Linked DNA regions of Oryza sativa Japonica Group. The protein of the gene in region 1 interacts with the protein of each later gene in a pairwise test. Links are inferred from orthologs where the notes say so. Each region holds a gene or a part of one and is shown in the gene's direction. Other genes may lie near its edges. The genes, in order: auxin response factor 11, auxin-responsive protein IAA31 and auxin-responsive protein IAA33.

Region 1 (4,672 bases):
CCACCCCTTGACGAAGGGGGCGTGCGGTGGCTTCGTGGTTGAGCGGTGGAGTTGGGCTCGCCTCAACGGGGAGTAGGAAACCGGCGAGTTTCCGAACCTCGGTGAAAAATCTCTTGTCTCATTGTCTCTTTTGATTGTCGCATTTAAATTTGTGCAATTTACATTTCTAGAGACACTTTGAGATCATATCACCCTAGGATTGCAAAACATTGACATAGGAGCGTGATTTACTTTCCTAGAGATATAATTGAGCCACTATCACCCTAGGTTTGCAAAACATAACTTAGTTGCTTAGTTAGAGTTCACCCTCACCAAGCCTAGCAACTTAAGTTAGATTTGATTAGGTGTTATTTAGTTTTAAATCGCCTATTCATCCCCCCTCTAGTCGACATCTCGATCCTACAGCTGCACGCGCCCGGTGCCGCGCAGCTCGTGCGGAAGGAGCTCGGGCCGCCGCTTGATTGCCCCGCCGCCCGATGCCGTCCTAGATCAACTGGGGGAGTCGGGCCGCCGCCAAGCTCCTCCTCCACTTCCGCGCGCCGGCGCTCATCTTTTTTCGCCGCGGGGGGGGGGGGGGGGAGGGGGGAGGAGGAGGCTGGTGCGCCGGCGAGAGCCAAGCCCCGTCGCCCCTCCGGTCGGTGCCGTCGCCGCTTGGCTGCTCAGTGCGGTGAATGCGGTGGGGAAAGAAGACAGGAGAGAGGGGAGAGAAAAAAGTGGTAAAAGCTGATACTGGTGGGACCCACAAGTAGTAACTTGCACTGTGGCACATGTAGCTAAACATTGTTCCTGATCTAGGTGGTGTGCGAGGCTTCGCAAATACTAGTGGCGCATTATGAATGTCCTAAGGTATACACGCTGCACAATTGCACAGTACACTATACTGATGGAGTATGCAACTGTGCACGATGTGAGTTCTGTCCCAAAAAAACTGCTTTTGGATACAATGCAAAGGTTAGTGGATTTTCAGCTCACAATATGAAAGTCGTCGCATGACTTCTTTTTGTAATCGTACTAATCGCGCGCTTTTTGTGACGGCATGGCATAGACGCATGTAAACGCATGCCTTTTCGCAAATTTGTAAAACGAAACGAACCTTTTGTCCCAACTGGTGCAAAAGCGTGAGGAAAACGAAATGATTCGTGGTGAGCTACAACACACTTCACTCGATCGATCGTAGTAGCAGGCTACTAGCCGCAGCAGCAGTAGGTCATCGGACGCCACAGCGATGATTTGCATGATTCCTCATGTTGATCCCTGGCGGTGGTAAGAAGAGGGGGAAAAAGTGACTTTTTATCGTCAACAGCGAAAAGCAAACCGCTCGCGGGAATCTCATTATTGGCGTACCATTTGTTTTTTAACCTTTCGAGGCCAAATACGCCATGCCTTCCATCCGTCGATCTACCGGTTGGAGTAGTAGCTGTTATATTGTGCTCACGTTTTTGCTAGTGTTGTAGACGTGGCCGCGTGCGTGAGAAAACGAGACCGAGAAAATGTGGCGTGCGTCGCATGGTGGAGGGAGGGACAGAGATGTGGCACGGCTCGGCGCGTCGCGTTTGGCTGGACACGAGGACAGTACGTACGCCTGCGCTGACAAGTGGGGGATCACCATGGGAAAGAGAAGCGAGCAAATGGGGATAGTGTCGTGCATTGAGAGAGAGAGAGAGAGAGGCGATCGACTGACGACGACGACGCAAGGAAAAGCTACAGCGGGTAGCGAGGGACGACACGCAGCGAGCGAGCCTGCGCAAATGAGGAATCATGGCTTCCCCCCTCGAAAGGTCGGCATCTTTCGCGCAAAGCAGCCGCGGTCAGCAGCATCACACACTGCAGCAGCAGCAGCAGCAGCAGCAGGAGAGAGGCTGGGAAGCCAAGACCAAGAGAGAGAAGGCAAAAGGCGCAAAGGGGAAGAGGGGAGCACGACCACCCTCCTCCGTATCATTGCCATCTACTGCCCCCATCCTACTACTACTCCTACACCCGTCTACTCCACTCCACAACCTCTTCTTCTTCCTCCTCGCGTGCGTCCGGGCCTAGCTGTAGCACGAGCTCGCCTGCCCATCTCTCTCTCTTCACCGCTTTGCCTTTGCTGGCGTTGCGCGTTTTGCCACACTCGCTGCTTCTTTTTTATACTTCGGGTTTGGGCGGGTGCCACTGGAGACATTCGTGGGGTGCCATTGCGGCGTCTTCTCCTCTCTCAGGAGGTGAGTGGGCTCTGTGCTCTTGGCTTGTCTCTCAGCTACTTGCTTCTTCTTAGCATTACCCATTTTAAGTTTTTGGTTGTTCTAATCCGGTGATCTTGGGTGTTCCCTCCGGCATTGCCGATGTTCTTGAGACTACGATCACACATTCATATGCATGGGTGAGTGATGGTCTTCGCTTCTTGTGAAAATGCCTCACCTGGGGGAAGGAGGGCTGGTACTAGTGCTACTAGAGGGGTGGCGTTCCTGTTCCCTTGTTCGTAGGCATTCGCCTGGAGTTGTGTTTGCATTTACAAGCTGCACGGCAGAGGATGATTGCCAAGTGGCATTTCGTCGAGCACGTAGCTGATATATTCGTGGTGACATTTACTAGTACTAGTGCTACTACTCTCCGCGTAGCTTTCTACTGCTACTAATCCTAGAGACATGAGCTGTGTGGCGTAAAAACACAAAAGCCGCCTGCTTTCTTGGGAAAGGGAGGTGGTTTTGGCCGCCATGGGGACCCAACACCCAAGCTATAGCTAGCCAATGCATTTTGAACCTCCCTTCTCCACGAATTCCTATTTTATTTTGGCTCTCCACTTTGACTGCTGCTCACACTGCACACCGTATGAAATGATATCCTCTGCCTCTGTTGCAATGGTATGCAGGCATTTGTGACATTTGGTCGATGGTGAAGTGTGGCTAAGCTGCTCGCTTGGCTTAGTACTCTGGAATTGAGGTTTTATCAGAATCTTGGCATTCAGATTGCAGCTGTTCTTGGGTTTCTTGGAGACATATGGCGTCCTCGCAGGAGAAGGCCAAGACGGGTGTTCTGAGAAATGCCGCAGCGCTGCTCGACGAAATGCAGCTCATGGGAGAAACACAGGGTGAGTGTTTCAGACTTTCAGTCAGATTCTGCTGCTTGTTGATGCATAATTGCGCACAAATTTGTTGCAATTTTTGGCATGATGCGAGTAGCGTCCGTTCCTTCTTCAGGTGCCAAGAAGGTGATCAACTCGGAGCTCTGGCACGCTTGTGCCGGGCCGCTTGTGTGCTTGCCGCAGCGGGGGAGCCTCGTGTACTACTTCCCTCAGGGGCACAGTGAACAGGTCAATCTTACTGTCTTTTTTCACAAATTGCAGCTAATCTCGTTTTGAAATGCTGCAACCATAGACAACAATTTGGTCAGATTGATGCTCAATAATACTTTGGGATTGCTATTGGAATGATCAATGTTGAAGGGATGATGCCCTTGCAGGTTGCAGCGACAACTAGAAAGATTCCAAATTCCCGCATTCCGAACTACCCAAACCTGCCATCTCAGTTGCTGTGTCAAGTTCACAACATCACCTTGCATGTGAGTTCAAGCAAATTCAATTCCAAACATATTTGTGGCCAAATGTGTTTTGCCTGTGCTTGATTGTTTGTTTTGCACAGGCCGACAAGGACACTGATGAAGTTTATGCACAGATGACCCTTCAGCCAGTAAACTCTGTAAGTATGATGTTTCTCTGTTACATTGTGTACTGAGTTCTGTACTACTTTATTTGGTTCTATTAAAATGTAAACACCAATTGTTATTGAAATGCATAAAATGTGATTACAGAAACAAAAATTCAGTGTGCAAGGAATAAAAGATGGATTCTAAATTAATATTTATTTGTGCCGTCTATTGTAGGAAACGGATGTATTCCCTATTCCAACTCTTGGTGCTTATACCAAAAGCAAGCACCCCACTGAATATTTCTGCAAGAATTTAACCGCAAGTGATACGAGTACACATGGTGGTTTCTCGGTGCCACGAAGGGCTGCAGAGAAGTTGTTCCCACAACTGGTATAGCCTTTATCTACATTTTGTTTGCCGCATAGTTTTTCTGTAAAAAAATGCTTCAGCTCATGGGTTTAAGTTTTGTACCGACAGGATTACTCAATGCAACCTCCTAACCAGGAGCTTATTGTTCGAGATTTGCATGATAACATGTGGACATTCCGTCACATTTATCGTGGTAGGGTCAAACAATATTCGGATTTTATTTGTCTTGTTCATTGATACATAAATATATGCTTCTTGGGCCACTGTCTCCTAAAAGTTTCTTCTTTTCTTGTCCCTTGCAGGACAGCCAAAACGACATCTTCTAACAACTGGATGGAGTCTCTTTGTTGGGGCAAAGCGTCTAAAAGCAGGGGACTCTGTCTTATTTATAAGGTGAAATAAGTTCTATAAATACATGCAAAGTCTGTTTGTTACTTAACCTGTGTGTGCTATCAGAAAATTGAATCTGAGATTGTTAAGCCTTTTGATACTAAACCCTATGCAACAATTCATGCATTGAAATACCACAAGAACTGCTTATGTTATTTGCTCTTTCGAAAGAATGTCCATTACCAGTATTAGATTTTCCTACAGCGGCTATCTACTTAACCTTAACCAATATATACATATTCAACTTTCTAGAATATTAAAATCTCAACAACAATAACTTTTCTATTTC
Region 2 (4,274 bases), on another chromosome or scaffold:
AGTAGTAGTTACAGGGAAGAGACTGGTTCACTGCACACATGAATGAGACACTGTACATCACAGTATCTTGCATAGATTGATGGTGAGAACTTTTCATAGTTAATAAAAGGATATAAAATGTAACAAGTTGGGACAGATCAATCGTCTTGTCAATATTAGGAACATCGATCTACAGATCAACCAGTACTCTCTGCATGAACTCTGATGGATCCTAAACTGTTTTTGGCTAGTGCAGATATATGTTAATTACTAAATTGTCAATTAGACAAGTGAAATAAACTTGTAAAGCCAAGCAAATATTTTTTCAGTTTTCTTTCAAGCTGGACCAACCATTCATGACACCCAATAGGCCAAATTAATTAATTAAAGCTTAATTAACTAATTTACCCCTAAGCAAGGGACCAGCTGCTTGCTCTCATCTGAAAAATATGAGAGGCCGCAGCTAGCTTAGCTTTGGTTAGTTAAAGAAACAGCACCGGTGCAAACAAACCATACTTTAGTTTGCAGCTTCTAGCTTTCAAATAAAAAGGGTTAGTTAATTAACAACAACTAACAGTACTCAGAAATTGGGAAATAATGTTTGCACTAAACAAGCAGCCACTAGGTGTTTTAATTTCCCTAGGCCCCCATGGCCAACACCAAAAGAAGAAAGGCCAAAGAAAGAAGAAACAAAAGGTAGTGGAGAGAGATTCACAAGGGGATACACTACATGATGAGAAGCATGCAATAGAATACTGCAACATATGTATACACTCCATGTTACATTGTTCCATGCCACTATATCTTATTGGACAATATGGAGAGGGGGAAACAGCATTGTATATGCCAAAAGATGCTCCCCCAAAGATCTCTAATGATAGCATCCTAATCATGGCTTTGGCACCCTTGTTTAACTATCTCAAGAAAAAAAAAACCTTCAGACCCCCTAACTAATTATCCGGATCCACAGGTACAGAAAACGATCCATACCCAATAACAATGCTGCAACTAGGTACATAGTAGGCTGGATTCTTAAACTCGTGCCAGCAATGCATACATTATAAATAACACTTATCGGATAAGGGTTACGAGGATCAATAACCGATGACCCCGTATTACAATGAACAATAGGGTAGTGGGGGACCCGAAACCCGTTACCCGACGAATCTGCATGAGGCGTCAGGGGGCCCACGGGGTCGGCCCGCCCCTGTCGCGGGCTGACCCGGCATGGCCCTCATGGCTGCACCCTAGCTACCCCCACAACCACCCTCCCAAGCGTGTGGCCTGGCAGTGGCACGTATGGATGTACGTACATGCACTCGTGTGCTCACATCCACATGTGTGTGCTTCTTCACATAGCTAGGGTTTGTTAGCTAGGTCTATAAAACATCGCCATTGCTGCTCAGCTAGCAGCCACGAAGACAAAGTCAGAGGTCACACAGCTCATCGTCTCGAGCTACCTAGCTGGAAGAAGAAGAGGAAGAAGAGGAGGAGGAGCTCGTCGGAGTTTAGTTGGTGAGTTCGCCGGAGAGATCGATCATGGAGAATCTGAAGGCGACGGAGCTGAGGCTCGGGCTGCCGGGGACGGAGGAGGAGGCGGCGCCGCCGCCGTCGACGCCCAGGGCCGGAAGCAAGCGCGCCCTCGCCGGCGAGCCTGATCAGGCCAAGATCAAGCCCGCCGCCGCCGCCAAGTAATTAATATCAAGTTCTTCTTCGTCTTCGTCGCCGTCGCCGCCATGGATGGCAGAGCTAGCTCTGATACGTGTCGTGTTTGCTGCTGCTGCTGCAGGGCGCAGGTGGTGGGATGGCCGCCGGTGAGGTCGTACAGGAAGAGCTGCCTCCAGCCGACGACGACGACGACGAAGAGCAAGCCGCCGCCGGCTGCCGCGGCGGCGGAGACGCAGCAGAAGGAGGATGTCGCCGGCGCCGGTGGGCTGTTCGTGAAGGTGAGCATGGACGGAGCTCCATACCTGAGGAAGATAGACCTCAAGGTGTACAAGGGCTACCGGGAGCTTCGCGAGGCACTGGAGGCCATGTTCCTCTGCTTCTCCGGCGGCGCCGCCGCCGACGCCGCCGTCAACCCGTCCGACTTCGCCGTCACCTACGAGGACAAGGACGGCGACCTCATGCTCGTCGGCGACGTCCCATTCGAGTAAGTTGCTTCCAATTTTTTTTAGTTTAATTAAGTTTAATAAATTTTTTTTACAACTTCTAGTATCATAAATTAGTATCATTAAATCTAACATTAATATATTTTGATAGTATATATGTTTGTCTTTTTAAATGCTACTATGTTTTTCTATAAATTTGGGTTAAACTTAAAATTTGCCTAAAATAAAATCAGAACAGCTTATAATATGAATCAGAGAAAATTGGAACGACTTATAGTATGAGTCAATTATTTACTTGAATTATTTCTAATTAACTCTATGATTGTCTTTTTAATAGGATGTTCATTAGTACGTGCAAGAGGTTGAGGATCATGAAGGGGTCTGAAGCAAGAGGCCTAGGAGCAACAAGGGGTTAAAAACTGAACAACAACAAGAAGAAATCATCATCATGTGTGCATGAGCAATTCTTTTGTTCTTTTTGGGTTCTCCAAGACATGCAATCATCTCATCTCCTCATTGCAACCTTCAAGAAAGAGAGAGAGAGAAAGAAAAGGAAAGCAAAAAAAAAAAAGATGCAGTGAAAAAAATATGTGAAGCTTAATTGGAGTCATCAGATTGCAAAGCATGCATGCATGTGTGGATGTGTGGCTTTAATTTGTTTTTTTCCTCTTAATTAGGTGTTAGAAAACACAGAAGGAATGGAGGTTCGAGTTGAGCCTCCATGTGTGTTTGTACAAAGCAAACATCTTTTTTCTTTTACATGAATGGTTGATTACTTTTGTAACTGGAGGGAAGAAGAATGCATGTATGCATGGGCTGTGTGTACTTCTCCCTCTGGCTTCAATGCTTTGATTTCCATCCAGATTATCATCAATTTGCAAGAACGGCAGAAAATTACTTCTGCATCGTTCATTATGGTTAACTAATCAGTAACAACTTCACCATATGCTCACTTAGTCCACTAATCCTTCACACTCTTGGTGGTTTTTCTGAATCTCAATTAGGAGGCACAAACTTAAGCCATCAGTCATTGCTCTGTTTCCAAGAAGAAGCAGAGAACACAAGACAATTTTCTCCTCTTCAGACAGCATCACTTTGCAAAAAAGGGACAAGCTATGATTCACCCAAGTGACTGAAGTAAAAGAAAATTATAAATATATACAACTGCTTGGTGTGTCCAAATCTTGTCCTTTCATCAGATGCTCCTTGTCTTGACCCTTGAGCAGGTTTAAACATGTACGGAGGGAGAGATTAACAGTTTTAACAATCCAAGATCCAGTTAAATCTTTAATTAACCATTGATCCACTTGTCAAGAGTGACAAAACCAAGCAAAGTAATTAAGCTTTATTAGCCAGAGAGGCAGATAGATCAAGCTGGTCATCAAGGGACAAGCCTTCCATGGTCAGTGCTGAACTAATCTGTGTGCCTGAAACTACACACCCACACACACACAACTCATCCAGCAATGGTAACATGCACCTGTCTAGAGCTAGTCAGACAGACTACATGTGGTGCACATGAAACCCAAGGAAAAGATTAATGCTGGTCAAGGCTATCATCCATCTAGCTTAGCCTCACTCTGATCAGAGAGAGAGAGAGAAACAGGGAGTTCAGAGAGTAGCATCCAATGCAAGGGCACTATACTCCTTGTCTTCTGGGATGGTGTGATGGGTTTTGGCTAATGGAGAACATAATGCCTGGAGATTGAGAGGGTAGTAGGGTCCAAGCATGTGTGTGTGAAGCAGCAAGGAAAATGAGCTGGGAGATGAAGATTGATGCATATGTCAGATGGAGAGTCCCTGTCTGGTTTCAGATTTGCTTGCATGATTGATTAATTTCCTGATGTTATGTTAGGTTCAACAAGAGCTGGGTGTTATATGTGTTAGTGTATTTATTGTGGAGGTTGCTGGTTGGCTGGATTGCTAGCTACAGTGTCAGTGCAAGCACAGCCTGGATGGTTGATGCAGAAGCTATAGCTCTGATAGCTTTTAGTTCTGTCCATTGTGCTGTGTCTGTCCTCCTATCTTTGAATACAATTGACGAGGATACTTTGTCTACTTGGCTCTCACTCTTCTCACGGGGCCATTCATAGTGCGTCTATGTGGCATTCAGCCCCAAGGTGATAGCGAGGAGATTCCCCTCCACGCGTGTGTGCCAATTATGTCCTAAGCAAATCCCTCAGC
Region 3 (3,370 bases), about 570 kb from region 1:
ACCGTACGTGCGCGCGATCACGAATTTAATCCACACGGACATTATTTATGACCTTTAATTTACTACAGACGCAATATTCATGTAATTAAGAGCAGCGGGCTACAGATTTGTAGCCAGTTGTAGCACAAACTCCAAAGCGCAGTGTGTGTATGATAGGTGGGACCAGATATTAATAGTGTAGTATGTAACTATTGTATAAATGAGCTATTAGATTAACTATAAATAAATTGGAACTAGTAGTTGACTATACTATTGAACTTGCTCTAACACAGACCTGGTAAGAGCACAATTCAACCAACCACAACGATAGAGGCAGCAGTAACTGTAACTCACATGTTTCTCGCACCAAATCAACCGCGCATAGTACTCCGTAGCTTAGCTCCAATCCAACGTCTCCCCGGCCGCGCGGCCGCCCGTTTTTCCAGCTACCACGACGGGTGCAAAGACCGGAGAAACGTACGTACGCGAGCTAGCTAGATCGGTCGCCGCGCGGGCGGCGCCGATCGAGATGCTGCATGCGCATGCGAGAAGCCCCCGCGCGACCTGCAGCGGCCAGCTGCGCGAGTCGCACGTATACGAAGGTCCATCGATCGGCACACGGTATCCGCGGTGGTCTCGTGCGGTGCGCGCGCCCCCCACCACGACCTCCGGGATTGCACGAGCAGACTCCCGTTTTTTCTTCGTTTCTCTCCGGACGCCGCTGCATGCGGACGCGCGCGCACGCCCCGGGCGGCTAACCCGATCGATCGATCCCCAGGGGGAAAGAAAATGGCAAGAAGGCTAGTTTTGTTTAATTCCTGTCTCGGGTTTGGTTGGTTGCTGGCACTGCACTACTGCTCGACCCCTTTACTCACTTGCAAGCAACCCGATCGACGTCCCACCGGTCGTCCCTGCTGGCAATTTACTTGTGTGTTTGTGTGTGTTATATATATATATATATATATATATATATATATATATATATATATAACACACACCGTGCACGTACTAGCACTGTAGCGCACCCATGACTGTCTTTCTTCAATTGAAATGAATTATTGTCGTCCCTAGTTAATTACTAGCAATTCTCAATATATAATTTTGAATTGAAACCAAGTTCATTACGACAAAAAGAAAAACTGAAAAGAATACTGGTATTGTATTAAATGCAGTACAGTGATCTCGTTAATTTGCAACCATACCTTAGCTCCACACTCCACGAAAACTATTCTAAACTTAACTTTCGAGGGATATCTCCTCGTTATTTACATGTCATCTAAATAATTATAAAAAAATTTAATAAGATAGATTAATATATGATAAATCACTAATATCAAATTTAACTTCTACAAGTTACAACTGAAAAAATAAATTTGAATGTAAGTATACGTTAGTTAGCCATAGTTTAATTTATTTTTCTAAGTTATACAAGCTAAATTTTAATCAATTGGATAACATACAAATAGTGAGCTCCACTCTAGCCTCTATGACTCCATCTTCTCCTACAAAACGGTCACACGCTTCACACGGCAAAGACACAATTAACCTTCCACAGAACGGTGCTCCAATCACTCCACTTCATCCTATTTAACCCACCCCCTCTCACTGTGCGTCTGTGCCTCTCTTCACACACACACGCACAACCAACCGCGCCGCCCACACGCCACGAGCGCCGCGCCGGCGAGCTCTTCGATCAATCGCGCCGGCCGCCATCGTCCCATGATAAGCGGCGCCGGCGGTGAGCAGCAGCAGCAGCAGGACACGAAGCGGCGGCTACCGGCGCCGACGACGTCCGAGCAGGAGAGGCGGCAGAAGCAGCACCGCGGGAAGATGCTGAGGCTGTCGGTGCAGCAGGGCGACGACGTGACCGCGGGCGTGGTGCCGCCGGTCACCGTCGTCCTGGACGGCCGCTCCATCTGCCACCGCGTCCACCTCAGCAAGCACACCGGCTACCGCAGCCTCGCCGCCGCGCTCCGCCGCATGTTCGTCGACGCGGACGACGACGTCGGCGCCGCCGACGAGGCAGCTGGCAGGAGCAGCTGCAGCGACGCCGACCGTGGCGGCCTCGACCTGTCCAATGCCGTTCCAGGGCACGTCGTCGCGTACGAGGACATCGAGAACGACCTCCTCCTCGCCGGCGACCTCAACTGGAAGTAATTAGCTTCACACTCATCTTGTTAATCTCACTTCGTGTTCATCTCGTGCTTTGTCTGAATTATTCTTGACGCATTTCTGTGTGCTGTTCATCTGATCTGATTCTCCTGCAATACATCCATGTCAGGGATTTCGTCCGTGTGGCGAGGAGGATTCGGATCATCCCGGCGAAGCCATCTAGCCGGATGAGGCCTCAATCTTAATCTGCTCGCTTGTAACTAAACCACATAAACCTCTAGCTACTACTAGATCCAGTATTCCTCCTTTCGAAATCGAAATAGTTTGTGTTTTTGTCATCAGTTTGTAACGTCGTTAAGAAAATTCAGTTAGTTATTATAATCCCGTTTTAATCGTGACCGGTAATGTGCACGTACGGTTGAATTGATCTGCAAATTAGTAAGGTTAATTAATCGATTCATTACAGGTTAGTTAATCAAATCGCTGCTCGTGTCACATCTTGTTCGCTGTACATGCTTAACTGTGCGTGTACGTGGAGTACGTCGTGTGCCGTGTCCGTCTCTCTCGTGAGTCATCGTCTGCGATTGACTTGTGTGTTCTTGCTTTGAAAGTGAGGGCTTGTGTTCACTGATTGCTTGTGTTTCTCAACTGCTCGATCGATCGATCAGTCTCTCGATAGCTTCTTGAACACCGACGCTTTGTCCGAACGTGCAGATATGCAGGTACATATATACAGAGATGCAGTTACAAGTAGCCGTCAGTTAACCAGCTCGATCAGTACTCGTCGATCTCGATGATATCGAATCTATCAGTGTAGCATCAGCTACGTACTATGCTATAAAAGTCGATTTCAATTAAGCGTCTGCTTCTGTTAATTTGGAGATTGGATCGATTTACACGCGTATGCACAAGAACAGTTTGGTCGATCGAGTTGACGATAGCAATGGATGAGACTGAGATTGGGATGGCCGCTGTGTCCAGAAGCATAACTGTCATGAACAGCGTTCTATTACTGCCTGCGTACGTAAGGAGTACGTGGATATGTACTTGGTCTCCATTAATTACTGAATTTTCGTGATAAAAACAGGCAGATGGATCGGCGACATTGGAGGACTAGTGGTTACTGCAGATGGATGTGACATTGACGGCATGCAAGCTCGTCCATGCATGGCATGGATGGATCCCCTTTTTTATCAGATCTTCTTCAGGGTAATTCTGATGCACCTAGCGATATGCCGATATCTAAGCCAGGAAAGAACATATGCAGATTAGACAGAAA

The links.
Region 2: the proteins of auxin response factor 11 (region 1) and auxin-responsive protein IAA31 interact in a two-hybrid assay, tested with the Arabidopsis thaliana proteins (2 studies listed by BioGRID). The link is inferred for Oryza sativa Japonica Group from reciprocal best matches to the Arabidopsis thaliana genes MP and SHY2.
Region 3: the proteins of auxin response factor 11 (region 1) and auxin-responsive protein IAA33 interact in a two-hybrid assay, tested with the Arabidopsis thaliana proteins (2 studies listed by BioGRID). The link is inferred for Oryza sativa Japonica Group from reciprocal best matches to the Arabidopsis thaliana genes MP and IAA33.

The regions. Positions count from the first base shown.
Region 1 is NC_089038.1:34,411,529-34,416,200, reverse strand, and holds the start of auxin response factor 11, read left to right. Parts: upstream 1-1,776; 5' UTR 1,777-2,201; intron 2,202-2,848; 5' UTR 2,849-2,976; coding exon 2,977-3,067; intron 3,068-3,176; coding exon 3,177-3,289; intron 3,290-3,438; coding exon 3,439-3,537; intron 3,538-3,617; coding exon 3,618-3,674; intron 3,675-3,858; coding exon 3,859-4,014; intron 4,015-4,101; coding exon 4,102-4,186; intron 4,187-4,295; coding exon 4,296-4,386; intron 4,387-4,672. UniProt on the Arabidopsis thaliana protein: Auxin response factors (ARFs) are transcriptional factors that bind specifically to the DNA sequence 5'-TGTCTC-3' found in the auxin-responsive promoter elements (AuxREs). Seems to act as transcriptional activator.
Region 2 is NC_089046.1:26,036,791-26,041,064, forward strand, and holds auxin-responsive protein IAA31, read left to right. Parts: upstream 1-1,390; 5' UTR 1,391-1,518; coding exon 1,519-1,670; intron 1,671-1,768; coding exon 1,769-2,131; intron 2,132-2,427; coding exon 2,428-2,506; 3' UTR 2,507-3,407; downstream 3,408-4,274. UniProt on the Arabidopsis thaliana protein: Aux/IAA proteins are short-lived transcriptional factors that function as repressors of early auxin response genes at low auxin concentrations.
Region 3 is NC_089038.1:33,839,331-33,842,700, forward strand, and holds auxin-responsive protein IAA33, read left to right. Parts: upstream 1-1,516; 5' UTR 1,517-1,698; coding exon 1,699-2,132; intron 2,133-2,260; coding exon 2,261-2,336; 3' UTR 2,337-2,489; downstream 2,490-3,370. UniProt on the Arabidopsis thaliana protein: Aux/IAA proteins are short-lived transcriptional factors that function as repressors of early auxin response genes at low auxin concentrations.